Struthio camelus: one gene and its partners. The protein of the gene in region 3 purifies or fractionates together with the protein of the main gene of each other region. This does not show direct contact. Links are inferred from orthologs where the notes say so. Each region holds a gene or a part of one and is shown on either strand. Other genes may lie near its edges.

What was found.
Region 1: the proteins of PXN (region 3) and ARHGEF7 purify together in Homo sapiens (affinity purification with mass spectrometry; 3 studies listed by BioGRID and IntAct, with this or other methods). This does not show direct contact. The link is inferred for Struthio camelus from reciprocal best matches to the Homo sapiens genes PXN and ARHGEF7.
Region 2: the proteins of PXN (region 3) and ITGB1 purify together in Homo sapiens (affinity purification with western blotting; 3 studies listed by BioGRID and IntAct, with this or other methods). This does not show direct contact. The link is inferred for Struthio camelus from reciprocal best matches to the Homo sapiens genes PXN and ITGB1.
Region 4: the proteins of PXN (region 3) and CTNNB1 purify together in Homo sapiens (affinity purification with western blotting; 3 studies listed by BioGRID and IntAct, with this or other methods). This does not show direct contact. The link is inferred for Struthio camelus from reciprocal best matches to the Homo sapiens genes PXN and CTNNB1.

The regions. Positions count from the first base shown.
Region 1 is NC_090942.1:158,295,169-158,302,343, forward strand, and holds the start of ARHGEF7 (rho guanine nucleotide exchange factor 7), read right to left. Parts: upstream 3,018-7,175; 5' UTR 2,805-3,017; coding exon 2,640-2,804; intron 1-2,639. UniProt on the Homo sapiens protein: Acts as a RAC1 guanine nucleotide exchange factor (GEF) and can induce membrane ruffling. Functions in cell migration, attachment and cell spreading. Promotes targeting of RAC1 to focal adhesions. May function as a positive regulator of apoptosis.
Region 2 is NC_090943.1:16,830,236-16,838,174, reverse strand, and holds the start of ITGB1 (integrin beta-1), read right to left. Parts: upstream 3,018-7,939; 5' UTR 2,756-3,017; coding exon 2,747-2,755; intron 1-2,746.
Region 3 is NC_090958.1:7,823,886-7,830,987, forward strand, and holds the start of PXN (paxillin), read right to left. Parts: upstream 3,014-7,102; 5' UTR 2,999-3,013; coding exon 2,961-2,998; exon of another isoform or gene 1,932-2,960; coding exon 1,759-1,931; exon of another isoform or gene 1,637-1,758; intron 1,360-1,636; exon of another isoform or gene 1,219-1,359; intron 793-1,218; exon of another isoform or gene 652-792; intron 1-651. Other genes in the region: SIRT4 (NAD-dependent protein lipoamidase sirtuin-4, mitochondrial), read left to right, coding at 4,613-4,624, 5,016-5,515, 6,288-6,582. UniProt on the Homo sapiens protein: Cytoskeletal protein involved in actin-membrane attachment at sites of cell adhesion to the extracellular matrix (focal adhesion). Recruits other proteins such as TRIM15 to focal adhesion.
Region 4 is NC_090943.1:51,348,703-51,356,202, reverse strand, and holds the start of CTNNB1 (catenin beta-1), read right to left. Parts: upstream 3,003-7,500; 5' UTR 2,607-3,002; intron 1-2,606. UniProt on the Homo sapiens protein: Key downstream component of the canonical Wnt signaling pathway.

The DNA of each region.
Region 1 (7,175 bases), on a different chromosome or scaffold from region 3:
AGTCCCTGGGTGCGACGCCCTGGCCCAAGCGGGGCTAGCTCCGGGAAGCTCGGAGGCCACGAAGCTCCAGCTTTCCTCCCACTGCTCGGCTGAAGCAAGTCACCTTCCCGCCCTGGCGGCCACCTCAGCCCACATGCAAACCCCTTCCTCTCTGCACCACCAGGTCCATTAAGGCATGGACAGACAGACCCCACTGAGCCCCCAGCGCAGACCCACTGACAGCTCCTTGCACACCATACCAGGAGTAAGGTAGGCTGGGGGCAACCATGTCCCTGCACAAACCCTGTGGGCTCGCGTCAGGGAGCGACCCCTACCTGAACATCAAAGACATCAGTCACCCTGATGTTTAAAAAAAAAGTGAAATGTACATTAACAAACTCATTTACATTAACAAAGCCATATATATACCATACTCAGGCATGCACACTGAGTTGGAAAACACTATTCTAACACTATTCGGTTCACTTATTTCCATCAGGCTCTCTTTAATTATTTTGTCATACAGTTACATCCTGTCTCCCAAGTTGAGTTTGGGCTCCCATTTCACTAGGCTTGGCATCTGCACGCAGGGAAATACTTTTTCTGCCCCAAAGTTTGGAGTCCAAAGCACTTTCGAGACTTACTCGAGGCTGCGCACACAGAGGACTGGTAAGATGTTGTGCTGAGACTTAACTGTGTGAAGACTTGGTGCTAACCAGACGAGAGCGAGCCTGGGGGAAAGGGAGCCGCGAGAGACCCTGCCTTTGCAGCTGGGGACTCCTGCTCACGTAGGTAGCCGGGATGGCTGAGCCTGCAGCCCCACGTCCTCCCTGCTGCCAGATGTGTCACCCCGGGCAGCCGAAAAAGACATTTCACCTGCTCCGGAGCTGCAGTGTGCAGGGTACTGAATGAAACGGAGAGCAGTTTGCACCTTCCCTACCCGAGCTGTGAGCGCCCCAGGAGCAAACACATGCCTCTTCCAGCTCTCTTATACAAATAGCAACTCCTGGGCAGAGCAGTGAGCAGGGGACAGCAGCGGCTTTGGGCGTCCCAGCTGGCTCCACCTGTCACCATGCTGGAGCCCGAGTCACCTACGCTCACACCACGGCCGATACGTCGTGTCCGCTCCTATCGCTTGGATCCATCGACAACACCCTGAGCTCCCCAGTGGTTTCTCTATCCCTGTATTGTCTCCAAGTTAGCTTGCAAATTTTGGGGGGCAGGAACGGCCTACTCAACCCAGGGTAGCAGGACCCCCATCCTAGGCCAGGATCTCTGGGCCACAGTACACCACAACACAAGAACCACTTCAGCATGTAGCAAATTCAAGAACTAAAGGGAGATAACCAAAGCCAGTGCCGTGTCCAATGCCCTATTTAGCTCAACGTACCAGTTTTCAACTTTGTGGGTCAGCGGGCTACTTTTAAAAGAGCCACCAAAGGTAATGAAAACCTACTGTCAGCAGGCTTAAATGTCTGTAGTGGCAAGGTCTGCAAGCTGAAAAAGTTCAAAAATGCAGTATTATTTTCAGGCAAGGAATTTTCCTGTCAACGTAGCAGATGACCTTCATTTATCTTCTCTTCACTACCTTGCGTGGTTCAAAAGGAAAGTTTTGCCACTACACATAGTTCAAGCGCATATGTTACAGAAAAAAAAAATATATATATAACCATAATGTATATTACATTGTTGAACGCTTCCTCCAGCATGCAGAATGAAACACTGGGACACTGAGCCCAGGTGAGACAACTGCATCATTCCAAATCTCAAGGTACAGTATCCAAAAATCACAATTCACTACATCTGAACTACAAAAAAAAAGAATTATGTATGCATACACAATACATGAAAGTTACCTGACGCACTATATTTGTTCAAACACAACACAGAATAAAACTGTGTGTGGGTTTTTTGGTTTTTTTTTTCCCCCAAATCTCAAAAAGATGAGATTTCTCCACAGGCTACAAAGCACTAAAAAGACCTAAAACAATTCCGAAACAGCCCACACCAAAACTAAGCGTAGCATCACAAAACCTCCTTCAAACGTTGAAAGGGATGAGCTGAATCACAGCCCCAAGCGAGGTGAGACACTGACTATACCAGCAGTTGGGGAGATAAGTTTTCAGCCGGCTTTACAGCATGGCAGAAAAGGTCCAAATCTCAAAAACGCACGTTCAAATTGAAGAGTGAGGACTATATACTGAAGTTGTTGGGTTTTTTTTTTTTTGCTTTTTAGGGTTTTTTGGTTTTGTTTGGGGTTTTTTTTGTTTGCTTTTTTTTTGCTTTTCTTTCTCTCCGTGTGAAACACTTGCAACTCCGCGGCTCTCAAGGGAAGGAAGCCCTTTCCGGGGAGGCTGTGTGCACCCCTAGCTGCCCCTCTCCCTCGGCTCTACCCGGCACCGCCGCGGGCACCGGGGCTGCGCGCGGGGCAGCGGCGCAGCGCGGCCGCCCGGGGCTGAGCCTTCCTCGCCCTCCTCCTCCTCCTCCTGCCCGCCAGGACTTTGTCCTGAGCCGCCGCCGCCCCGACGCGGTACCCCGCGGCCCGGCAGGTCTCCCGGCGAGGGGAGAGACCGAGGCCGGGGCCGGGGCCGGGGCGGGCGCGGCCGCACAAAGGGCGTCGCGGGGGCGAGCGAGCGAGCGGGCGGACGGGGGGCACTTACTTTCTCGATGGTGCCGGGGAGCAGGCGGTCCAGCAGCCTGCACAGCACCACGCCGTCTTTCAGAGACGACTGCAAAAATCCCTCCGGGTCCGAGATGGTCTTTTTGGGCGACTCCAGCACGCCCAGGGTGATCAGCCACGTAACGGTCTGCTCCGCGGAATTCATGGCCGCGGCCAGGAGGAGCCCGGCTCCGGCGAGCAGCGGAGGGCGAGGCGGAGGCAGCGCACCGGCGAGGACACCCCTTTTTTATTATTAAATCTTTTTTTTTTTTTTGGATGCGTTCCCCCCCCCTCTCACCCCCAACCTCTTTTTTTTTTTTTTTTCGGGCCGGGGCTTCAGGCGGAGGCCGCGGCGGCCGGCGCTGCCCCCGCCTCCCCCATGTGAATGCAGATGACGACGCCCCTCGCCCGGCCCGGCCCCACCGCCGCCGCCAGACGCCCGCCAAGCCGCAGTGCCGCCCCCCGCCGCCGCCCCATGACATCACCGGCGGCGGCGGAGGCGGCGGCGGGGGGCGGCGCGCCGGGGGCGGGGGCGGCAGGCAGGCAGGCAGGCAGGCAGGGGGGCGCGGGCCGGGCTCCGCCGCCGCCCCGGCCCCAGCTCCGGCCCCGGCCCCCGGGGGGCGGTCGGCGCTGCCCCCTAGCGGGGGGCGCCCCGCGCCGCCGCCGCTGTTGCCGCGCCCGAGCGGGGCCCGGTGTGGGCAGCCCGTTAGAAGGAGGGGAAAAGTCACCGGCTCCCCCTTGTCGGGCGAACGGTCCAGACAAAAAGAGCAAAAAAAAAAAAAAAAAAGCGGTTTTCATCATAGGCCGAGGGCGAGCGTTTTGGTAAAATCTCCTTCTAGGAACGCTTGGCAGCGTCTCCTTGGCCCGGCCGGTCCCGTTTGCACATCCTTCGCCTCTGCTTGCAGTTTGCACGAGCGGCGACGCCAGTTAGGAGGAGGGCGCGCGGCGGCTGAAGCGCTGGCTCGCCGCGCCGCGCTCCTTTCCAGCCATCATGTCTGCGGCTTGCCATATGTTTCACCGGTTCACTCTCGGCGAGTTTCCACAATCCTAATTTATGGCAGCGCTTGAGAAGCCAACGTAAAGACTTAGAAATATCGGGAAGGTTAATCTGAGAGAACTGGCTAAAGTATCTGTGTCCTTTCTGGTTTTACTCCAGAGAAACCCGTTCCTTAAGACTTTGCTCAGATGAGATCCTATTTGAAACGGGCGTTTTAGTATGTTCAGATCAGCCGTGCGCTGCCCAGGGGAGGCAGAGCCTCCCTGCCGCCATGAGCATCGCCGCGGTGGCACGTGCGCGGCGAGACGTGATGCAGCAGCAGCAGCCGGGCTCCCGCTTCCCCCTGCTCGGGGTGCATCCGCATCCGACCCACTCGAGGTGCAGAACAATGCTAGATAGTATATTTTCAATACACAACTGTTTCCTCTCTCGTATGCAAGGTATTACCAGCTGTTATATACTGCTGCAGGTTGTTTCCAACTTGGCTTTTATGCGGACCAGGAAGTAGCTGTACTGGCTTGGGGGGAGCTCTCCTGGTTCCCTATCCCGTCTCTGACTGTGCGCCGGCTCTAGCTGCTTCTCCAAAAGACATAGGTGCCTTTGGATTTGAAAAGAGATGATCTGACTCCAACATTAAATCTCCTAATCCATAATATCAGCAGCTTTCCTTAAACTTTGACACATAAGGTGTAATAGCGCTTCCAAAAGTTGATAGCATTAATCATTTGAAACTTTTGCTTTCCTGGTTGCCCCTTCACTATACATTTTGAGCAAAAGCTTCCTAGCAGAGAGTTGTTCGGCTACCAGTAAAAGGACAGCAACAACACAGCTATTCGTTGCAGTCCCTTGAGCGGTGTGGATGGCCTAACTGGAACTCTTCAAACTTGCCAACGGCAGAGGAAGAGTTCTCAAATCTTCAGAGGAAAAAACTGCCCAAAAGATTTTAGGAGTATGCCCAAGTCTTCCTGGATTCCTTTCTTCTCAACCTTTCCCTGACAACGTATCTAATGCAAACCATCCATACTCTTTGCACTGCTGGCTTGTTTTGTCTCCTGCGAGCCTCAGTCTTGCCTGCTTACATGGCAGGCTCCTAGGACTGACCGCTATTTTGCATCTGCATCGTCTAGCAAGGGGAAACCTATACTGTGCTGGGAGGTTTCAGGTAATGCAAATGATGAAACATATGATTATTACTAATTTTTGCTCCTTTCTCATTTGTTTCACCATTCAAGCTGTTCTGATTATTTTATGTCTAGAATTTGGTTCCTTTTTTTCTTCAAAATAAATTGTAAGCTGATAGTAAATTTTATTTAAGCACTCATTAGGGTAATATTTAAGCAATCTAAAAACCTCCTGAAGGCATCAAAATGTATGGTTTTAACCGCCTTTTTCTATAAACCATTTTTGAAATATGTACAAAACTGAAAAAAAAATCATTTTGGTATTGAATTCATACATGCAGGACAGAAATGGACAACATATAGAAGCCTGCAGGTGTTAAATATCTTTGCACAAGCAAGAGTATTACATTTTGGTTTGGGGGAGACTTAATACCTGGGTATTACTAACTGAATTAGATTGGGCAGAGATCTAGTAGATTTTAGAACACATCATTTTCAGTAAATAAAGATTTGACAATCTCTTTGGACTTTCACAAGCTTTTGTCATACACTTACAAGAAGTTACTAAGGAAACTAGGTAGTCATGAGGTAGAAGGTAAATTCTGCTATGGATTGGAAAGTGGTTGAAAGGCAAGACAGGCAGCAGAAATAAACTGTCAGTTCTCAGTCTGACAAAAAACTAACACTAGCAGTATTTCTTGTGTTCTGTAGTATAAACTGAGTTGGCAGTAGTATTTGCCACTAATTGAAAGTGATCAAGTGGAAATTGTACTTCTGCATTTTTATTTGGTCTTTTAGCCCATGAGCAATGTTTTTTCAGAGGAGGGAGAGAAGAAAGAGAGCAAGGAAATGGCAGGCGAAGAAAGCTTCTGCCTCTTCTTGGATGCTCACTTCCCATTTTTCATTTTCAGTTATTAATACCTCGTCTGTCTGTTTTTGGAGCAGCAATGAGGTGCTTTGGCCAGATATGCCACCCTCTGCTTTCCTCGTGCCAAAACAAGGTCGTGACTTTGATGGGCAGGAGACTAATTAACTATCAGTCCGGTTTAAACAGAAATTGCCTTGGCAGTCAGTAATTAGCCACATAGGGGTCATACTGGATCAATTACTGATCGGGGATTCCTGTGCAATAAGTAGTTATCCCCATAGTTTGAACCTAGGGAAGTTTATATCCCTCTGAGAAAAACCTCGTCCCAACAAAGCTTTTGTATTAAGCTCGGAGATATATTTCCACGTGTGAAGATGGTGTTTGTGAAGTCAGGAAGCAGCTGCCTGAGCAGCATGGTACCAGCGGAGGTAGAAATATGGAGCAGAGCAAGGTTGTACATGGATAAAACTATGTGGTCACATTCACTGGGTTCCCGCTGCAAACAAGAGGCTGACAAAGTGAGAGGAGGCTCTTTGAGAGCCACCAGCCTGTCTCTCCATCTCCTCCCAAAGCGGCCCCTTAGTAACTAAAGGAGCACAGGAACCTGCAGCAGGCACAGAGGCAACCAGCCAACCTGAGCTACTCTTCTCCCAAAACATCCATCTTAGCCAGGGGGCTAAGGTTACACTTTCCTCTAGCCTAAGCTGTGCCTTGTTTTCTAGTGAGCGCGTGGAAGAGGGAGAGGTGAAGGACGTAATAGAAGAAGTGGATCAATCAAATAAAATAAACATGAAAGGAAAACCAGATAGGAGAGACGAGTGGAAAAAGAAGACTAGTGAGGCAATTATTTAATTGTCTGTGAAGTGCCAGAGTGTTTTAATAGGCAGATGCAAAAAGCTCTGGTCCCGAGAAGCTTTTCAACCAAGCATAAATAAACATAAAATGAATGGTACCTTACAGAGTGTGGCTAAAGTGCTGATGCAGCAGCACCAACGTGGGACTTTCCGAGTAGGTATTTGACATTTGGGCGCAGGCAGCATGAGGCTCAGGTACCTGGAAACTGCGTGCTCAGCTCTGGGGCAGTGCTATGGGTGGCCAAGCAGCATGGAGAGGCTTAGGCAGCTGTGACGGGGTTCACACGTGCGCTAAATGCAGAGATGCCCAAGCCTGCCCCTATAAGAAAATACAATGGAAAAAAGTGCCTCTGCACATCTCTCTTTTATGGGGGCTGCAGGCACCTGGCCTAAGGATGGAGAGAAAACAGGGATGCATGAGCATGGCTGGGGCTTTTTGCTGGGAGAGAGAAGCCCCAGAGCCCATCTTCCTGCTTTGTTTCCAATACACATTTCCAGAACACGCAGAGTGCCAGCTCTCCCCTTAAGGTAGGGCAGCCAGTAGAAGTGAAATCTCATCTCTGGTGCCATGAAGCACCCACACCTAGCTGACCACATGGCCAGCTTCAACAGGAGAAATGAAGCACCTCCCCCAGAATACCCAAACCTTTCCCTAGACTATGATTTCAAACCTCTTGGGCATGCGTCCCACTTGTTG
Region 2 (7,939 bases), on a different chromosome or scaffold from region 3:
TAAGCAGAACTGCATCTGCCTTTCCTGAAGGAGCTCAGACCTGCAGGGAGAAGAGGAATATCAGGGAACCTGTCTGTCTGTTTGAAAGAGAGAAAGAAAAAACAGAAGAAGAGTATGCTCAAAAGGACAGTCTTTCATGATTTACAGAAAGGGTCTCATCACAGAGCAGATATTTCAACAGAACTATTTCTAAAGGCCACGTTACCAAGAGGTATTGGCAGCCAGGAAGTCTGTAACAGGCTGAGCACAGTGCTGGAAGAACTGCCTTCTTGGAGAAGACTTAAGAGCTAAACATGCATCACTTCAGTTGACTAAATCAAGACTGCCGGAAAGGCAGGCACAACAGCTATTTACAAACAACTGAAGACCATTCATACCAAAAGCAGTAAGGGAATCATGTTCACGTCAGCCCAAAATACAGCATGCATCAACCCTGTGCTTGCACTGCTCCCTCTGAGCTTGCCTTTTTGCTACCTAAGTTATCTACTGCCTCAGCTGCTTGCTATAGCACTGCACTCTTTTTTACATCTGCATCACTACAGATGTACGCTAAGAAAAGTATAGGGGGGGATGGTGAAGAGCAGAGGGATGAAATCATGAATCGGGAAGAAAGAACAGCAGGAAAAGCTTCCGGACAGTTTGTATTCAGCTGTGGGAATCACCTCCCAAAGGAAGTGGTGGAAGATTAACCCACTTGAGTCATTTAGAACTAGACAAGACAAACACTAAAATTATGCCCTTGTACCAGAAATTCAGGAATATGCTAGAGAAACTTGCATTCTTCTGCATCAGTTTTTCATAAAGGTGGGCAAAATTAGGCCCACCTAGGCCCTAGGATTATGTAGATCAGATTATCAAAAGTTTTAAAAAAACAAAACAAAACAGCAGACTGATCTCCCTGGCTGCATACAGAAAATCCACAGCAGCAACAAAAAGAATAGCAGTTTTTTAGCTGTTCAAGTTTTATTTTAAAATAGAACTGGTTTATTTATTATATGGCTGGCAAATAGCTATGGCACTAATCAACTCTAAATTTGATAAAGATGGGATTCTATTCTCCACGGTTGTCAAGTTTGCACCTTTCACTTTACTACGCATATTTGAAAAGGACAAAAGTTTAAGGCATCTTCATCATAAACTTGCCTCATCTTGCCTACATATTGCCAGCGGCTCACTGTTTTTGCAATCTTTATAAAGCAGCCTTAGGTAAGCTTGCAAAATGCTATGTAATCACTTGCTAGAGGCAAGTAATATTTTTTATGACAGGAGAATGTATCATCAGCTTCCTCATGAGGGTGGTTGTGAACTTTGCGCCTCTGCTAGAATGTCTTCACTACTCTGGAAATCTAGTTTAATTTACTCTAATTTACATATTTCTAGTAGCAAATTATTTCTTAAAAAAAAAAAAGTTGCTACCAAGTCATCTCATGTCATAGTTGCAAACTGATTTGCTTAGGCTACCACCATCACTTACTGAATGACAAACGTACCAGAAGCACAGATTATCTAAATCTATTTGCATATATGCAAAGTCCTACTCCACTTCAATGCTTAAGTACATGCTCAGCACCAGCCATGCGTGGTTTCACTGATCTGAATCCTTGCTCCTAAAGATATATGTGTGTTGGCAGGAACAGGACTGTAGCAATACAGCAAGGGCAAATCTAACAGAAAAATCACCATTTGCACCTGAGAAGTACAGGCACATATGTTGGCATGAATGGACTGCTGTGTTATACCAAGGGCAAATCCGAAAAAAAAAAAAAACCCAAAACAAAACAGGCTGGGTTTTTTTTTCTCCCCAGAATGAAAAATATTCTCCAAGTTTAATCAGCAGTCTGACATTCATTCCATCAGATAAAGAAATCTAACATTGGGTCAAAACACGACCTAAGCAGTGAGTCAGAAAAGAATTTTCTGTCACTTTATGTTTCCTTCCAAACATCGTGCGTATGAAGATAACATATTAGACATCTCGCATGTTAGACCAAACATTGCTTTTGCATTGCTGTAAACTACTCCCGAAACCATCAGCAGAACCAGACCGTATAAAGCGGCCTTACGTTCCCATAACCCCACTTTCATCCTCAAGTAAGCTAACAGCCAGCTGTAAAGGCTCACTGCCAGCTTAGAGCAAAAACGCACCAGCTTCAACGGCAGGCGAGTCGAGCAGTCCAGTGGCTGCACCGCGACCGCGCAGCCGTCCCCACGGCACAGAAGCCTGCTCTCAACGGCCGACTGTAATAGCCACGTTCAGGCCAGGGACTCTAGAGACAGGCGGGTGGTGAATTCCCGCACGGAGGCACTCTTCGCGCTCTTATTCCTTATTTCCTGACGCCAGCCCTGACCGCTGCGCGGCCGCCGCGCCAGCCCCCTCGCCTCGCCTCGCCTCGCTCCGCAGGGCCGCAGGGCGCCCGCCGCGCCCCGCGCTCGCCGAAAACTTCGGCTCCCCGCCCGCCGCCCGCCCTGCCGCTGCGGCCGCGGCCGCTCTCCGCTGGTCGCCGCGCAAGCCGGCGGCGCGCACAAAGGCGCGGCCCGGCCGCCGCCGTCCCACCGCGACAGGAAGCCGCGGCCGGGCCCGGCACCTTCCCGCCTGGTCGCAGCAGGCGGGCGGGCTGCTGCCTCCCCCCCGCGGCGGGGCACCGGCGCCGGCGGCGACTCCCCGCACCGTGAGGAGCGTCTCCCCCCCCCCGCCCCCGCCGGCACCGCTTCGCCCGCTCCGATCCCCGCCTCGTCCTCCCGCTACCTCGGCCATGGCCGCGGCGCTGCTGGCTCGGGACAGGGGGCGCGCTCCGGCGCGCCCGACTGAGGCGCCTCCTCTGTCCCGGGAGCGCGGGCTGGGCGCGGCGCGGCTGGGCTCCCCGTCCGTGTGTCGGCCCGTCCGCCCCGGGCCGCTCCGGCGCCGGCGCCGCTGCGCTCGCCTCAGAGGTGCTCGCGGGGAGCCCGGCGGGGGCGGGGGCGGGGGGACGGGGAAGAGGCTCCGCGCTCAGCCTGCTTTTACCCCGCCCCGGAAATACATAATACAGAATACATTCCTGTCCGTTGCCGTCAAACCTCGGGCGGGAGGGGAAGAGGGAAGGGCTCTGCCTGGGCGAGGGGGGCCGGGCCGGGCCCGCCGCCGCCGCCGCCGCCCGCGCTCCCTCAGGAGCGTCGCGCCGCCGGCCGAGCCGCGAATACCTCCGCGGGGGGGGGACGGGGGGCGCTCCGCCGGGCAGCTTTCCAGGAGGGCTTTTCTCCTTCTTGTCGTCTCCCCCCTCTCCCCCGACTTCGTGCCAACCTTCATCACCTTATTTGGTGGCGTTTTTATTCGCGCTCCGGCTCCTGGTTGCCGGGGGTCGGCGGCGGCTGCCTGTGAAAGGCGGTTTCCCGCCTTTGGGGCGGGGGGGGGGAGGCCGCCATGTCTGGGGCGTCCCCGGGGGTCGGGGGGCGTCCCCAGGGCGGAGGGGCCGCCGCGGGCAGGCGGCTGTGCCGCATGGCGGGCTGTGCGCGGACACGCGTGACTTCGGGGCGGCGCGTTCCCCTGGCTGCGGAGGGCAGGGCGGCGCTGCCGGGCGGGCTGGCGGCGGGCACCGCGCCTCTCCGAGCTGGCGGGCGCTTAACTTTCACACCGGACCTGGGCACCGGTTTCGCTTGCCGCTTTGTCGTTAAAAAGCCGGATCGTTTCTTTTTCAGGCGTCCTCCTTCCTCCGGCTCCAGCTGCTGCTGCTGCTGCAGTTCCTCCTCGCTTCTCTTGGCTCTAGTCACCGCTGTGAAGTGGATGCTGCGCTGCATCTTCCAGTTGCCACCTGGCAGCAACCGCTTCCCAGGAGCGGCGATGAGCCAGGCCGCAGCCGCGTCCAGCCCTGCGGCCACGGCCACGCGAGGCGAGGAGCCCGCTGAGAGGCCGCGTGTCCCCGCGCTTCGGTGGGGCACGCCGACAGGCCGACACGCTGCAGCGGTGCTCCCTAGTCAGAGCGCCGTAGGCACCTGGAAGAGCTGTGGCGTGGTAGAGCTTTTAGTGGATAATCGGCCAACCAATAATTAATTGCGAAAGTAAGGAAGGTTAATGAGCAGATGAATGGCTTGGGCGTTACACTTCATGCGTATCGTGCTGTTACACTCTAGGAGAAGACTAAAAAGTGGAACACTTAAGTTGCTTGGGCAGTACTTGCTGCTGATTGACACACGCTGTTAACGTTCCTTAAACACGCTTTAAAATACATTCTTGGGAGATGTACTGGCAAAAAAAAAAGTGGTATTAAACACTTATTTGAAGGTAAAATCTCAAGGGAAATGTAATCTATGGACTCTACAGTTCACAGAGGCAGACTGTGCCTTTATGAGTGACCCACTGCTTGAGCCTCTGTCAGTTCTTATTTTGGTATGATTAACTAAAGTGGTGCTGCAAGCTGATAATCATTTTATAGCTCTTCTTCTGCTTTATTATTAGTTGTGCTGAAAAAATAAAAAAACAGGGCTTCTGCGATTCAAATGTATGTTCAAATTGGCCAGTGCAGTTCTTCAGGATGTAGTCTCTCAATGTAGCTGCACTAGCAGAAGCTTTTAATGCTGCTACAACTATAATTTTAAAACTGTTTTAGTGGTGTTAGAAAATGAAATTGAAATGATAGGCTGCTGTTCAAAGCAGCTTCATCAAAGGTGAGCACAACAAATGAAGTGGAAAAGAGAGAGCTTTCTGATTGAAAGATAAAGAAGGCAGAGTACATATGTTGCATGTTAGATTAGTATGTAGTATTAATACTGCCAGAAATAAGGAAAGAAACTGCTATAAAACCAACCTTTTTAAAAAGTATGCAACACAAAATAAAGGCAAATGCAGAAGGGACAGCGATCTGCCAAAAATGTAAGAAATTTAAGTACTGAGGGGAGAAAAATGGCAGTTAGCCAAAGTCTCCTTCCATGCTCCTGTATTTCAGGAAAAAACCACGTTTTGCCAGAATATAAAAATGATGAGTAAAAATATACTATAGTATACTGCAAGCAGGTAGTGACAAAAATAGCCCTCATTCTCACTGCTATGTTTTGCTGAGACTGTGAGGTGTAAATGAAAATGTTTAGCAAAGAGATGCTTCAGGCACTGCTACATTGAGCTCAAACGCTGGTGTGTCACATTGACAGTGGCTGGCTGTGCTGTGCTACAGGATGTTGGCAAGAAAAATCCCCCAAACTGCTGGAAAGCTTACTGAATTATTTGACTGCTTTCTGGACTTCTTTTGGAGCATACAGATGCGTGTGAGGGCCATTTGTTATTTTCTAACACTTCTAAAGTACTAAAGATGTCAGAAGAAGTGCTTGAGGTATCTGAGCCAGCAGTTGCAATTGCAGATGATGTCAAAATGTTTATTGCAGTGTCTCCATATTATGGTATACATGACATCTGTGAGAGTGAACATGTTTTGCATGAAGGAGCTCAAGAAACTCCTGATTTTCATGGGTTGTTCAGGCAGCTAGGAAGTATGCTAGTCATTGTTAGGCTTGGTTTGTTAGTACTAGCCCAGATGGCATGTTCTGGTTATCCACATCCTTGCATCTCGTGGAAGATGGATGAGGAAATGTGACACGGGGGACAGGATTATGAAATGTTGTGCATTCTTACTGATTTATTTGATACTTCTGGATTTGCTATTGTGTTTTAGCTACATTTTTATATGTTTATGAGACAGCTTGGTTCTTTGTTACAAGATTTGGATACAAGTCCTTGACTCGTCCTTCTCCAAGTACTTGTGTGTTGTTGAACCAATATAATAACTGAAAAATACCAGAATTAAAATATTTTCGGTGAGTTTAATTAGCTTAACTTTATTAAAATACCATTTCATTTTCCTTTTTTTTAATGTGTATTTTATACTTGGGTTATGTTTAGAAAACAAGAAAGCCTGTAATTTGGTAATGACGCCTTTCAATTTGTGTGTAGCGTATGTTCCTTTTCTGTGAATGCTGTAAGAAATAAATTCCTGTGTTGTAGAGTATACCATCCCAGGAGAACTGTCGAAGTGATGTGTGCAGAGATATCAGCAAAAATAGCAAAACAGTTTGTAAGATACCTTTCATTTTTATGATTAATTGCATACCATATTATTGAAAAATTCAGACTTCTTAAGTAATCATTAAAATAAATATTTTAGTATATTATTTCTTTGAAAATATCTGAAGTATATTTTGCACATTAAATTACTTGGTAGGTACAGTTGATTTATTTAAGTGGTGGTGTATACCTACTAGAGTTTTGCTTTAAAAGCACACTGAAGTTCTGCACACTTTCACTCTGTCTAGCAATCTTTCAGTCCAAACAACTAGCAATAAGGAGGGGCCCAGTGTCACAGAACACCACTAAGTGGTTGGTGGAGCACCAGTGGTCTGTAGGCCGTGGTTTGAGAGTCTTCGGCCTATTTTTGGTTCATTTTTTTAATATACAGAAATTACCAGCATGACCAGGCAGTGTTGTGGATGCAGTGTCAGTCTGTGTCTGTATCTTGCCTTGAAGGTACAGGTTTTATTACAAATTTAACAGGCATATCTAAGAGTCCCAAACCAGGTTTTGTTGTGTCCAGTGCACACGTTAAGAGGTAACATCTATCCCATGGGTCAACTGTTTAAACTGGGGTTTGTCAGCTGCAGCTGGGAGGCTGTAGCTGAGTGTCCCTGCAGTGCAGCAGTCCCTCCTGGTTGCCTGGCTAATAACCTTAGCAAGGGGCGATCATTCACGTGCCTCAGGGACTGCCGTATCCCTGAGGAGTAGGAACTGGTTGGTTGGAGAAGCTACTGCAGCTTCTGTGTCATTGGGATATTTACTTGGCTGCAGTTTCCCAGTGGCTGCACACTGCTGTCTGTCCGATCTGTTTTGATGGGTAGCAAAGCCCACATGTCCAGGGGTGTCATGGCCTTGGCTCCTGCCAATGTCATGGCGTTTCCCCCACCTTCTCTTCCTCCACCCCTGGAGCTTGAGACAGGGTGTATAGGGAGATACTCTGCAAGCAGGGTCACAGTGAGGAGTGTTGTGTGCTGGACATTAGCCCCAAAATGCCCGCTATTAGGCAAACTCATCTCGGTGCACCATGGCTTCCTACCACCATGGGCAGCTTTATAATCTCACCACCCACTAACGCAAATCTTTCCCTTTTGCTTTTGGATATTGTACTAGGTATCTCAGCCCAGCTCTGCCTCAGTGCATGTTAATTTATCTGTATTGCTCCTTTTTCCCAACACACTTTATTACTGAGAGCAGTGAACTTTACTCCCCTCATCTTTACTTCCTCTCCCTTTTCAAAATGCTCTTAGACGACCTAGGATATTTTTTTTTTCTCCAAAGCAGAAAAAAAAAAAAACCCAAACACCCTGAGGTGAAGAATCATAGTTTAAATACAAAAGACAGATAAAGGGTGGGAGAGAAAACAGTGCCAAAGTAATTTTTCCAAGATCAGTAACAGAGCCAGGAACCTCCTGAGGCCTCACCAGGCTGCTGCCACCTGGACTGTGCTGCCTCTGTAAACAGCCTTGTTTTCCTTTCCTGTCCTTGAGAGCGGAAGAGCAGCAGTTGCTGCTCTTTTATTCCCACAGAGCCTGCGTAGCTGTGGAGGTACACAGTGAGTTGGGAAGGCCTCGCTGGCTGTTTGTCTGCGCGGGGGGCTATGCCTTCCAGTACAGAGAACGAAGGAGATGTTAGATGTAAACACAAAATAAATACAAGGTATTATTACGAAGTAGGGCCACTTAGTACAGGAAGTGATAACGCCAAGAGGTCGCACTAATTACTTTTGATAACGGCCTCTGTTTGCTCTTTTCACAAACAATAAGGAGCACTTCTCTGGATGCTGTCCGTGAATTAACCTGGCAGCTGCTCAACAGCATACAATGTGGCCATTATACGGAGCCTTGCATTTACACTGGAACGAGGTTCTCCAGCCTTAAACGAGGGCTGGAGTAAAGTGAGTCACAGATA
Region 3 (7,102 bases):
CAGCTTAGAAATAGATGGGGTTTACTTAATTTCAAAAAGAGGATTTTACACTAAACTCAGCAGCTGCTTTTTTCCAGAGTAAAGGTTTAAGATTTCTTTGACAGTGAGGAGTCTTCTTTTAAAAAAAATAATAAAAAATAAAGAAAAGCATGTGATGCCGATGGATCTATACAGTAATGAGCCGTTGCACAAAACGATGCTGCGCACTGAACGCGGTTCCCCAATGCGTGCCGGAGCGTTTCGGGAGCCAGTCAAGCACGATTTGGACCGGCAGCTCCCCCCAAGAGCGCTCTGCTCAAGGAGCCCGCTCAGCAGGAGCCAGGGCAGAGGCACCCGCCGGCACCCCACTCCCTCCGCTCCCGTTTTCACGGATCAATTCCTCTTTCAGCACCTTTGAAAGGGAAGGCAAGAACTGGGCTTTTTATGCAAACGCGCCCTCGATTTATCATTAAAACATGTTTTTGGCTGGGGCAGACCCCGGCTGCGGCGAGAGGGAACAAAAGCCCTTGTGTCATCGCACACACAGTAAACCTTTGTGGCGCTGATGAGGTCGCAGGGCGCTTTCTCAGGAGCGCTTCCCCCCCAGGCCACGACACGAGGACAACCCCTGTCGTGCATTCCTTTCCTCTGTCTTTCCACACCAAAACTCAGTCTCCGTAGAGACTGTCAAAAATTGCCAATGCCGACTATATTTCAAGTCGTCATGGCGGGGTATTGGGAAAAGTTTTCAATTAGCAATAATCGCGCCTCGGATTAACCTCATTGGCTACGATACTGCCACTGCGCAAAGCTGACTCTCTCCTCCCGCCGCCGCCGCCCCTCGCCCCGCCGCCGCCTCCCAGCTCACGGCGAGCCCCGCCGCCCCCGCGCCCCGCCGCCCCGCGCCGCCCCGCGCCTCGCCGCCGCCCCCCGAGCCCCGCCGCGCCCCCACGCCCCCGCCGCGCGGAGGAGAGCCCCGTTTTCCCCGCAGTGCCGACCGGCGGGGCGGCCGCGGAGGTTGCTGGGAAAGAGTATGCAAAGCAGCGTGACGTCAGGCGGCCGGTGCGTATGGCGCGCGGCGGGACGCCAGGCGGGCGGCAGGGCGCGCCCAGACCGCGCCGTGCCCGGACCGCGCCTCGGAGCCGCAGCCCCGCCCCCCCCCTCCCCCGTATTCCCTCTTCCTCCCCAAACTCCGCTTCCCCTGTTCCAACACTCTGTCATTAAACCACGTGAAACCAGCCTCCGAAGAGGCCCTCAAAAATTGCCGGTGGCAACTATATTGCAAGCCGCCACGGCGGGGTATTGGGAAAAGTTTTCAACTAGCAATAATCGCGCCTCGGATTCACCTCATCGGCTACGATACTGCCACTGCGCAAAGCTGCCCGCCCTCCCCCGCCGCCAGCGGCCGCCCCCGCCGCCCCACCCCGCCGCTCAGAGCGCGCCGCCGCCCCGCCGCCCCGCGCCGCCCGCCGCGCGCCCCCGCGCGCCGCCGCCCCCGCGCGCCCCCCCCGCCGCGCGCCACCGCCCCGGGAGGGGCGCCGGGGGCGGCCCCGCGGCGCGGCGCGGCGGCGGCGGCGCGCAGGGGGTGCCGGGAGGGCGCGAAATGCAAATGACGGAACTATGCAAATGAGAGGGGCGGGGCGAGGGGGCTCCCCCCGGGAGGGGACCGCGGCGGCTCGGCCAGGGCCTGCCGGCAGCCCCCTCCACCCCACAGCGCTCTGAAAACGCATCGAAACTCTTCAAATAAGCACTAACGACCTAAAGTCCATTCAGACTCACGCGGCGGCTGAAAGGCCGTGGTTAAGGGCCCGCGGCGGCCCCGGCCCTCCCCGGGAGCAGGGCGCGTAGCAGCGGGCAAAGCCGGCGCCGCGCAAGCGGGACGCGCTTCTCCTTTGCGATCACAAAATCCCAGGGATGCAGAAAGCCTTGGGCTCCTCCGTGCTTTGAAGTAACTGCAAAGGCAAGAAAAGTGGATTAAAACCTCGCCCCATCTGGAGGATGCTCGTGGAAAGCGCTCCAGGTTATCAGAAAGACCCGCCGGGTGCAACGCGGCGGACTATCCCGTGCTGGGCTGCTGCAGGACAGCCGTCTGCACTTCCCCCTTCTAGCTCATTCTTTAAAAACCTGAAAAAATAACCCCCTGTGCCAGTCGAGTCATGGTTTATCACGTGCATGTCAAGACTGAAAGGTTGTGCCAGTGCCCCGCTGCGAACCCGACCCCAACCACTGGCCACGTGCAGCTGCCCGTGGCCGGGGTAAGCGTCTCACACGGTGTCAGCTCTTGAAGTTCAGATGGGAACCAGCAGCTGAATGGAAGAAAAAATGCCTCCATTTACGCCACGCGGAGGGGAAGCGGACCTTATCTCCAGACCCTCATAACCCCAGCAGGGCGACTTGAAAGGCCTTCCAAAAAAGGAACAAAAACACCCCCAAAAGAAACATCGAAAGAAAACAACAAAAACCCTCTACTGCCGCTGTTTTCAGGGTCTAGGGAACACAGTTTCCTGTGGGAATAGCTCAACAAGCTGGCCAGAAAAAAATGTCACCATCTCAATAACCTGCCGCTTTCCAGCAAGACACCAGCATTCCCGCAAACTGTGGAGAAACAACGGGCAGGGGACATCGCTGCCCAGCAAAAGCCAGCAGTGAAACCCAAGCAGTTTGCTCGCCAGAGAACAAGGAAACAGCTTTTATGGGAACCGCGGCAGCATCCCCAGCAGCACCATCGTCTCCGTATAGGCTGGCTGCAGAAGGTGACAATCAGCAGAGTGACAAGCAGGTCAGGCCAGCAACGGGGCGAGCCCGCGAGGGAGGTAGGGAACCGACAAGCCCTTTGGTGGCAAAGGGTTTCATGTCAAAGCGCTTCAGGGCGTCTAAGGAAGGTGCCCGGGGAGAGGCCCAACGAGATGAAAGACAGACGCCTGCCCCCTTTTTCATCCACGCCTCCTCTGAAAGCAGCGTGGGGATCACCTGTCACACACCGGCCTCTTGGGGGTCGTCTGGCCGCACTGTAACGCATAACCGACCGGATTTTCCTTATTCGTCCATCCTTGCTGCCGGGGGCCCTTCCCCTGGCTTTTCCCCCCAACTTTTTTCCCCATCATTCCCAATGTGCTCAGCAGAAGACCAGTCCACCCTCCCGGTACGCTACGGGCCGGGGCCCGAGTGCAGGCGCCGAAGGGCGAGGGGCAAGCGCGGCCCCAGCAATTCACACCCCCGGGAGTTCTGGAACCGGAAGAGCCATCGTCTTCAACAGCCCACAGCGGACTTTGCTCCTGTTATTTGTTCTGACACTTTCTGAAACCAAAGGCTGGCAGGTTAGCATCAGTGAAGGGAAGCTGCCTGCGTTCGGGTGTCTACAGCGCACTTTATCAAAGCTAGTCCCTACGTAGCAAATACTGCTGTGATTTCCTTCTTGTTTGTTGCTTTGAGGGCAGCTGTGAAGCGTTTAGCTTTTTCACATTTCACTTTCTTATGACATTTCAGGAAGGTTTTTTTTCCCCCCCCTCCTCTTTGAAGCATGGGAACTGTAGTCTTCCTGCTGTAGGCTTTAATTTCTTGCTGAACTACATTTCCCAGAACACTACTCTTCCGGTAGGTCCTCTCTTCTCTTCAGAGGTCCCCCACGGCAGCATTATGAAAGGTAAGTTTTCAGGCCCTGTTCACTATATCTTCTTCCATTAAGCGTGTTCAGTTTGACTGTTGCCCCTTTTCGCCTGCAGTCATTACTGCAGCAAAAGAGATTCGGATGACCTGGGTACACCTCTGATTTTCTGGCCTGAAATCATTTATAGAAACTTGTTTGTTTTCTACCTTAAACTGGACCGATCTCTTTCTGTAAAAGATTTTGGATGTGTGTTAAAAACAAACGCTAGCTTGGATCTTGATAAGTATATTAAAGGTTTTTTTTTTTAATCCGAGCACCTTCATTTTAAAAGAAGCCTCATGTTTTGCATCATGCGTTCTGTCATTTTTAAGTTTTTCTCTTAGTCTGTCCTACTTCCTTGCTTCACAGCACCTTTCAAATGTATCTGGTATTTTTGCTGCTGTGCCTAATACCGCCTTCTCTCTCCTGCCGGCCAATCCAAATTATGTCTGCATTTCAGTCCCCTTCAAAACATTTTCTTCCGAGAGCTCTTTTGATGATAAGTGACAGAAATGGAGAATTTCCATCAGTGCAAGCAATTTAAACACTGTCAAACTGGCTTAACAGCCTTTTGGGAGGATCACAACAGATGTTATTCTCAAAGCACGCTAACGTTTCCCAATAAACTGTGTCCCTTTTAATTAATTCACATGGAAAATTAAACCTCTTCAGAAGAAAGGCCAAACACAACTAATGCTAAACATGAAAACAAAACAAAAATCACTGAGAATAAAATTCACTGATTAGATTACAACAAATGATTCAGAACTGTAGAGGAAGTCCTACCAGACTAAGCCCTCCTGTGGAGCTTAGGTTTCGCGAAGAATCAATCTGTTCTGGAAAATGCTGAGGTGGCTGTGTTGTTGCTTTCCACAGGAGAGGCCGAGGATGGGGTAAACTGAAAAGACTGATTTGGAGCAGGCAATGCGTTAGAGACAGTAGAGCAAGAGTCTCCTCTGTGGAGGAATCGGAGGCACCAGCCGCACAATGCCTGCAGGGGTGAGGTACTTGCCCTCCCTGCTCTGTCCTCTCTGCCTATTGCACGTCCCTGGAAAAGCCCTGCACAGGTCCATCTGTGCTCTTTAGGAGTCCTCTGAGGCCTTCACAGCAGGGATGGAGAGCAGGAACCCTGCGAGTCAGGGGTGCTAGCTCTGTCCTTGCACCATGGGAAGGCCTCGGTGTTACCCCCTGCAACGGGCGCATAGGAACATTGTCCTCCTGCAGTAAGCTTTCAGTAACATTTTCAAAATACTTTGGAATTCTTTACTGAAAGACAAAATAGGACAAAGAACACTTATCAGTATTATTTGCCAGAGTATCCCAAGGAAAGGGAATTAAGGACATGCTCTTTGCTTTCTTTTACCTGTGTTCTGTTCTTTACTTTTAGCAGAAGATGTTCTCTGCCAGGAAGTTGTCAGGAGGTTGCAGAGCCATCAGACTTCATTTCCGATCCCATGTTGTATCCAGAACCTCTCCCAACTTGACTTTCGTGCCAGAGTGTCTCCCCCCGGATCCCGTGGAAGTCGAGGAGCTGCAGCACTTTGTTTCCAAGTCCAAGAGGCTCTTTGTAATGACTGGAGCTGGAGTCTCGACTGAATCAGGGATCCCAGATTACCGCTCTGAAGGCGTCGGGCTCTACGCAAGGACAGACAGGCGGCCCATCCAGCACACCGAGTTTGTCCGCAGTGCCAGTGCCCGGCAGCGGTACTGGGCAAGGAACTTCGTGGGCTGGCCCCAGTTCTCCTCCCACCAGCCGAACGCAGCACACCTGGTGCTAAGAGACTGGGAGAAGCTGGGAAAGCTGCACTGGCTGGTGACCCAGAACGTGGATGCCCTTCACACCAAAGCTGGGAGCCAGCGCATGACAGAACTGCACGGCTGCACGCACAGGTACTCTCCGTGGTAGAGAGGACGGTTAACGCTCTGGTGTCTTGTTGGGGTTAAGAAGCAGCAAGTGCAGCCGTAGCTGCTGAGCCAGGAGGCAAAACGTAGATGTGCAGTGTTACTGGAGGTGACATGCTTGAAGGTGCTGGGCTGGGGGTGCAGAAAAGGGTCACGCATCAGTGCTGCTCACAGCAGAGTATTTAATAAGCATGAACAGCATCCCATTTTTTTGGAGCACTTTTTGGATCATTTCCCTTAGTGGCTGGGTCAGTCAGAATCTCACCTTTCCTTGCTAAAGCAAATATCCTTTGCTCAGGTGAAGAGGAGGATCCTGAGGATGCAAGGAATAATTACCTGGGCTGAGCAGAGCGGGTAGTGCCAGAAAAACAGAGGGTGGGTGTACTGGAGAGGGGCCACCACGGTCTGCTTGTGATTGCCCAAAGTTTCCACATGAAAAGGCACAGAGTGACTGCAAGAGAGGAGGCACAGCAGGCTTCCTCTAGAGCATCCCTGCAAAGCAACAAGTTCTGGAGGTGGGGACCACTGCCTGGCTGGCATGGGTTGGTTTCTTTCTGAGGTGTAATTATATATATATTTTTTCTTCTATAAAGCTCTTCATTTGATTGTCTCAACTAGAGGTAGACAGACAGTCCACTGACCTGTGCCATTTGGTGGATAAGTGCGGACAGTAACAACAGGCCATCCAACCAACAGCTTACTGACTCCAGAGGCTCAGCTGACATGAAGCTCTCGGTTAAGACTTTGTTCTGCACTTTAGGGTTTTCTGCCTGGGCTGTGGAGACCAAACCTTGCGCTCTGAGCTGCAGGTGCACTTTGAAGCTCTGAACCCTACCTGGAAAGCTGAAGCGCTTGGTGTGGCTCCCGATGGAGATGTCTTCCTGACAGACGAGCAGGTGCGTAATTTCCAAGTGCCAGCCTGCAGTAAATGTGGTGGAATCCTGAAGCCTGACGTGACGTTCTTTGGAGACACAGTGAGCCGGGAGAAAGTGAATTTTGTGCACCAACGCCTGGCGGAATCAGACTCCGTGCTGGTGGCAGGATCCTCCATGCAGGTAACCGGACGTTCCTCCCATACTGGATTCTCTTTCTGTGCTACTCTGCCTGCAGCAGTCCTTGGTCCCACAATATGGGACTACTGCTTGCAGACAGGTGGATCTACAGCCTCTCCAGAGCTTCTTGGTATTTTTACTGGCCTTGGAATCTGGCTTCACAGTTGCTCTGTTTGGGCTTCCCTGTCACTCCAGTGCTGATCTCCTTGAAGCTGCTATAAATAACTCCGTTCACACACTCTGACCTCTCCCTGCAGTCCTCTCTATCGCTATATAGGTCCACAGTTGCCTGCAGAGCCAGGATACCTGACACAATCCAGCCCTGTATAGATCACCACCCCACATTTCTTTGCTTGAGCTTTTCGCCTTTGGCAGCTTCTTAGGCCTCGCGGCATGCTGTGTAAAATACCAGATTTTAGGACCTCTAATTCCTAACTAAACTGCTGAAGCAGAAGACAACAGGAAATCTCTGCTTGTCACTTAGGACTGTCCTTTCTTTCACAGTCTTTCTCCATTAGCCACG
Region 4 (7,500 bases), on a different chromosome or scaffold from region 3:
CTGCAACCAACTGCACAATCATCACAACCCCTGTGTTACCAGCTTTAACTTTGAATTAGCATGAATGATTTTGATTACTGCTGTATTTGCACACTAGTCTAGATACTAGACCATATTTTGCAAAAACAACTTCATGCACGAGTTTTACATTGCACATTCAGACTTCAGTTTACAATGCTAAAGCTTACAATAGCTGCCTCTCCTGTCTCACTCTTGCTGCCTGTCCTCTCCACACCTCAAAATACCCCCAAATTAGTTTAGAAGATCAGCAGTATTACTCATTTTTATCTCTTTTCATCAGAAATTATTTTCTGAAGGGTTAGATATGAGCTTTCGGGAATGCTAAGTCATGAAAGACTAATGGATACATTTTACAAAGAAAACCTTCCATTTGAAAGGCAACTAAGTTTCAGGGCTAAGATTTGATAAACCATTTACTGACACATTATGTAGCCATAGCACAAATAGCAAACTACATATCAAGCAAGAAGGACAACGTATTTGTTACTCAGGCAAGAAAAAAAAAATTGTTTACTGAGGATGTAACAACATTGAACGTTAAGAACTAGCTGACTTTTGGATTAAGCCTTACCCTGAATTAAACCCTTGCTTTTACAATCTATTTTATACTATCCTTTTGTTTGGCATGTTTTTACACTTCTCCCTGATACCCTAGGAAGCAGCCACAGACCAACACGAACACTCCCAAGCATATCAGTTTACACCTAAATACAAGTTATCTGAACTTATAGCCAAGCAAAGAGGACAGTTCTGTAGAATGACCCCTAAAATAGCAAGACATTTAATATGATTCTGTATACAATAGCTGAATTTAGAGACTCAAAGCCTTGTCTGAACATCTAAGTAGCCTTATTTTCAACAGTACCAGCGATCGTGCAACTGACAGTCAGATGATACCTACAGCTGTCAGCACCTTTTAATAAAAAAGGTGAAAGCGCAAGATTAACATTAGGTTCCTGGAGTGGTCAGTTACTTGAAATTCACATTATTACCTGGCTCAGTGGACACCAGTGAATTTGCCTTTTGTGCTGTTTTAAAGATTCGCAGTAACAGCTTTGCCAATCAAGAGCAAAGTCATAACTGATAAAGTTGCTCTCCAGTGTGCTTGAACTTAGGATCAAGAACATCCTGCTCTCTTTCAGGTAAGTTTCTACTCTATGCCTTTACTATATTCTCAGCACAAAGATCCTGTTTTACTAAAACCCCTCCTTGATTTCCTTCCATCGACCTCAGCATACCAGCCCAGCCTCTTTCCATTCACCACTTGCATACTTTGGGGGATGGGAGGACCACAGATGTCTGGAATATACAGAGTGTCAGAACAATGGCTGCTCCATGAGAAAGAGATCAAGAAAAAGTAGCTGATTGCAAAGATTAACATTGCTATTCACAGTCACAAATTGCTGATATTGCCTCCATAGCCTGTGTTTTCTTCCCAAAACTGTACCAAGAACACCTCTTCCCAGAAGCAATCGATTCAAAAAGAAACTGCAAGAGGTCTTATACCAAGTTTTAGTTAGATCAGAGTTTAAGATTTTGCTAGATTTTTAAGAAATCAAACTGCCCCAAGAGGAACCCATCATGCACAAAAGACAGCTCAACTAAGCCGCTGGGGAAAAATACATCTGAAGCTCCTTGTTCCATAGAGTCAGAAATAAGTTTCCATCAACAGTAAGAGCAAGTTGCTTCACACAGCTCAGAACTGCTTTGGTTTGGGTCGCTGGAGGGCCTTCCCCCCCCCCCCCCCCCGGTCGGCCACGAAGAGTAGGCGCTTCCCCCTTCAACAGGGGAGCCCCTACATCGCTTAAGTCATCCTCTGCAAGACTCTGGTAATGTGGGTGTTAAAAACTTAATTTGATTGCTCCTAGCTTCAGGGAGCTTCATTTCGAAGACATCCAGAAGGAGCACAACCTCTCCAACAAACACGCATGCAACTACGACAGAAAACCTACAAGTCAACAGATTAGTTATCTACCTCTGACTGCAGTGACCGTGGTTAGTTAATTATACAAGGTACAGATAAATCCGTCCCCTGCTCTCTTCCCCCTCCTCTCCCCGGTCACTGCTGTGGTCTGGAGCCCACTGGCGAGTCAGCATTCCCTCCTTCCCCTCCCCTCAAAAAAAGAGGAAGAAAAAAAAGGAGAAAAAATCGGTACGAAACTACTCCGGCCTCGACCGCAAACCCAGCGGGGAGCACAGACGCACACAGACCCGCATCGCAGAGTCTCGCCCCCTCCCACAGACCCCTTCAACTACCCCCTCGGCCCAGGACGAGCTTCCCAAGAGACACCTCGGGAAGCTGCAGCTGCCGCCTCCTGCGGCCACGCAGCTGTCCGGACCTCCCAAAACAAGAGCCCTCTCCTCCTTTCCTGTCCTCCTTCCCTCGCTCCCCAACCCCCCACCTCCCGCGGCCACCCGCCTCTCTCCCACCCAAGCAGCGCCCCCCACCCCCAGCCCCGCGCCCTTCCCGCCTCAGCGCCCGGCACACCCCGGACCCCCCAACGGCCACCGGACGCGGCGCCCGCCCCGGCGGCCATCGGGGGGGGGGGGGGGGGAAAGGAGGAGGGTGGCCGGCAGGGGCTCACCCCAAGTTCCCGCCGCAGAAAGTGGCACTAACGTTGTCGCAGGGGGGCGAGAGCGCAGGGTCCCCCCGGGCTCCGGCTGCTGCTGCCCGGGCGATCCCGGTCCCGTCCGTCTTTCCTTCCTTTTTCTCTTCCCCGCCCCCCCCCCGCCCTTCCTCCTCGCTCGACTCTTTGCTGGCGGCGGCAGCACCCCCGCCGCTGCCTCCCGGGTAGCAGCCGTGCGGGGCGGCGGCGGTGTTAGTCCCCCTTCGCCCAAGCGCCGCTGCTGCTCCCACCGCCGTTACCGAGCGAGAGGCTTAAAATGGCGTCGCTCACAAGGAGGTTCTTATAGTGAGCGCCGGGCTCGGCTGTATCCTGCCGCCGCGGCCGGGCCCAGCGCGCAGCATTCCACAGGCGCCCAGCGCACAGAGCAGGGGGGAGGAGAAATAGTGCCCGGCTCCCAGGGCGGAGGGAGACAGAGAGCAGTAGCGGAGGGAAGCGGCCGCGAGCAGGGGGGGAGGCGGCGGCGGCAGCAGCGGCGGCGGCGGCGGCGGCGGCGGCGCGGCGGGGCGGGGGGAGGCAGGGTGGCTGCGGCGGGGCCGGGGCCAGAGGGTCGGGCGGGGGGCAGCGTACCCCGGCGGCGGTGGGGGAAGAAAGGAGCGAGCTTAAGGCTGCGAGCGAAGTTGCTGCCTGAAGGCGGGGGAGAGGCAGCGGCGGCGGCGAGCGGTGGTGGTGGAGGAGCTGAGGGGATTAGCCTGGGGGTCCCCTTCCCTCAGGGCAAAACAGTGCGAATTTTTTGGGACGAGGCATGCGCGGGGGGTGGGGTGGGGGGTGCGAGAGCCCGCTTCCACTTGGCCTCTGGGAGTGGGTTTTATTTATTCACTGATTTATTTAAATTTCGGGGGGTGCGCACGCCGCCAACTAGAGGGGAAACTCTGCGGTTTTCCCCAAGGCTCGTCGCCGACTGCGGAGGACTCGCGGGCCGCGTTAACGCCTTAAAACCGGCCTCTCGCTCGGCTCCGGCCGCCGGCGCAGCTGCTGCCCGCCCCGGGCCGCGCGGCCGCTGCGGCCGTTGGGGCCGTTGCGGCCGCTGGGGCGAGCCCGGGGACAGGGGCGGCGGGGCCCGCTCACGTCGGCGGAAACGCGCTCCGCTCTGCCCTTATAAATATTTGTCAGGAAGCAGTTGCCAAAGAAAGTATCTCGTTATGCAATTTATTTATTTTCTATGGAAGAAGCAGGTTTTCCTTCCCTTCCCTCTCCCCCCCCCCACCGGTCCTCCGCCCACCCCTCGTCTCTTCAGTGAGTGGTAAAAACAGGAAAATATTATGAATTGCACAAGGTTTTTCGCGGCGTGCGGAGCCTTGTGAAGGCACGTATGTGGCTGCCTCTTCCTCGGCGTCCGCGGGCTTGCGCAGCAAAACGTTTTACAGACTTCTTGCCTGTGCCGTCTTGCACAGGCAAAGCCTGTTTAACATACCCCCGAAAGTGCACCGCTGCATGAAACAAGGAGTGTATATACCAACGTGTTTATATAAAACATGAAAGATGTTTTATAGTGAAAGATGGATTATTTTTTCCCCTCTCAGTATAGATTTGCTTTGGCACTAGGGGATGGTGGGGATTGAATACTTGGTCTCGTGCTGGAGGGCTTCACGCAGCCTCTCCTTCCCCACCATCCTCTAGCTGCTGTGGCTCTTGCGCTGGGGAGATGCATGGTTCACAGAGAGGCCGCCTGTGTGCTTGCTTTTCCAAAGATAATACTCTTTTAAATAGGCTCAGAAAGTTACACTTTTAAAAGTTTTTTTCCCCCTATTTGTTGATTTATTTAGTAATGTAATGTGTAGTAGTCTTAGGCTAAAGGACTTCTTTGACAGTGCTACCTGATTTTCACATCAACTGCTTTATTGCACCAGCACTTTTTGAACATGGGATTTCTCCCTGCTCAAAAAGTAAAATAAAATAAAGGTGTAGGGCTTGCTGCACACAAAATACCCTGGTCCACTGCAGCACCTGGGAGAGTTTTGGGGTACCTGCCTGCCTGGCCTGGCATGGGGCAACCACATGAGGCTGTGGCCCAGTGGGACTGATGCAGGGGTCCCAGAGCCAGAGGAGCTGTCACTAGTGAAGCAGTGCGGTTTAAGCACTGGGAAGGCAGCAGTGCTTAAAAAAAGCCACACACGCAAAAACAAACCAACTCCCCCCCCCAAAAACTAAAAATACCCCAAACTCCTTGGTTGCTCTCCACTCTTCTCTGCCTTTGCAGGACATGCAGCAATCTACCACCCACCAGCCTCCTGGTGCACTGGGCGACCTCACGCCCTCACTAGGATGAAGTACGTCTGGGATACACTTGAAGTTAGAGGGTCAAGGAATACAGCTTTCCTTGTCATACCATTTCCTGTTAGGACGGTTGCCCACGTTGGCTACACTGGCTGAAAGGAGGGCAAGAAGGAGGAGAACTGTGCAGCCAGAGTAGGCAAAGCAAATGCTGCCGGATCAGGGCCTGCAGGCGGCAAACGCTGATCAGCTTCCAGGGGAATTGCAGGGTGTGTTTGCATGGCGCAGGAGCGTGCTGCTGTGAGCGGCAGACCTTGCCATCCTTGACACAAAAACTTTGATTCTGCTTTTACGAATCTGAGAAAGCGTGCTTGGAGATTGGTTTGGTGCATTTAAAAAAAAAAAAAAAAGATGTGGGGGGAAGAGCTACGTTCTTTGTGCACCTCCCTTTCTCAGCTGCTTTCCTGTACAACCTTGGGAAAATCATGTCTGCCTTGGTTTCACCCTCTGTAAAATGGGGATAATAATAATGACAGACCTCTCCTCTTAGATCCCTGGATCAAAGGTGCTATATAAGTTCAAAGTGCTGTTTCTATAGGGTATTATTGCCAAATTCACCATCAGCAATTCCATTGGGTACTTGATAACAACAGTAGAATCAGTCAAACGCCCTTGATGCGTTGCATGGTCCCAGATACCTTTCAGAGCCTCTTTGTGTGCCATCCCACCCCCTGAGGTCTGCAAGGATGGGGCTTTTGGAGCCTGGATTTTGCAGAAGCAGGAGGGGTACAGCCTGTGTCTTTGCTTCTGGCCCCTGAAGTATGGACTGCTTTTTTTCACCTGATGAGGACTGCTGGAACTAGCCCATTTACAAACAGGTTTAAAACATACAACTTTTTTTTTTTATATATATTTATATGAATTTCATAAGGCCTTTAGCACATAATGGTAGGCTCTTGTTGATTTTGAGTTGTTTTACTCTTGCGTGGTTTGTTGTAATTTTAAACTATATTTGTTTCATTGCAGAGTGGTTAGGATGCTTTTGGATCTAGACATGATGCTAATAGAAATTAGGTTCATTTTAGCTTTGCAATTTTTAGCTATTAGGTACCTAATCATTTTCTAAAGTATCACCTTTTTAAAAAGACTACCCTAGGAAAGCTAAATACCTTAATAGCTGGAAATGTTGCAATTAGGATGAACTCTGACTTATAATACTATTATTTCAATTACAAAATGTTTCTAAAATACATTTCATGTTTCTAAATTTTCTAAAATACACTGTGAAATGGTCCAGTGTCAAAGCGAGAAGAGTGAATGTTATATTGGATATTACAGTGCAGGGCTTCCATGAATGAATTCACAAAAATCCAGTTATTTTTCTTCTTCTACTTTTCTTTTTTTTTCCCCCAAGAAGCATCCACTCTGTATATGCCGCTTCAGAAGTTTCTTTGGAGCTCTTTTATGCTTTAATAGGTTTGTTTTGGTGACTATTTGCTAGATGACTATGCCGCAGACATATTTTTTTCAAAAGGTCAAGCAGTATTCTAACATGTCCATTGTGTATCACTGCAGTAAGAAATCCTCAGTGCAAAGGAGAGCTTCATGGTTAAATTTTAAAAGATAATGATTTAAATCTTTTTGTTAGCCTCATTTTAACATCCTTAGCACTGCTTTTGCAGAGACAACTTTTAACACCGTAGAAAGCAGGAAGCCCATTAATTAAAAATAACAAACAGCTAAAGGTAAACTTGGTTGGTCACCTTTCCTTCTGAAATTATGGCATGTAGCTGTGTTTTTAGGGAACATAGTAACAAACGAGTAGCAATGGCACTAATATAAGGACAAAGCAAAATCACCAATTACGGAAACATCTAAGGCTCTGGGCCTGAATCTTTGATTTCCCATATGGATCTTAAAAACATATGCATAATTGGCTTCTAACTGTGCATAATCTGGGAACATATTTGAGAATCAATTACACATTTTTAAAGACACTGACTAAATAAATATTCACTTGTCCGCAGCAAACCAAATCATTCTGATCCTCTCAAAAAAAAATCTTCTTCCAGCACAGAAAAGTTGTAATGTATTTAATAAGTCATGTATTTGCACTTTTATACAGGAATGAAGGGTGAAATAAAGGAGATGGTAGCAGTATTTAAGCATTCTTTGAGATACAAGACTAATCAATGTAACTTCTGCTGCATGCTTAAGAACTACAGTTTATTAATACAAGTCAGAAACTTTGCTATGTTGAAGCACATAGCTATGCCACTCAGGCTCAATTTTAGTAAAATACGTGTTCTTTAGGGACAAAGAGGGAGAGAATTTGCCAGATTCCAAAACACTGGTGAGATTTGATTTTTCTCAAAAAATTATGGAATAAAATTATGCTAGTGTGTAGCTTGCAGTCATTTTGAGTGAAAGTGAGACAGTAACAATTATTAATAAATTAGTATAGAAGATACTGATCAAAACATCTTGTTAACTGGTGGGAATGAGATAAATTGGAGTACTCTGCCAATGTTGTTCCAAATGTCAGAATTAAAATTGTAATTGGCCAAAAGTCTGATTAAAAACAAAATTATTCTTTTATTTGCTGTTTCAGTTTTGAATATATGCAATATATTGCATATAT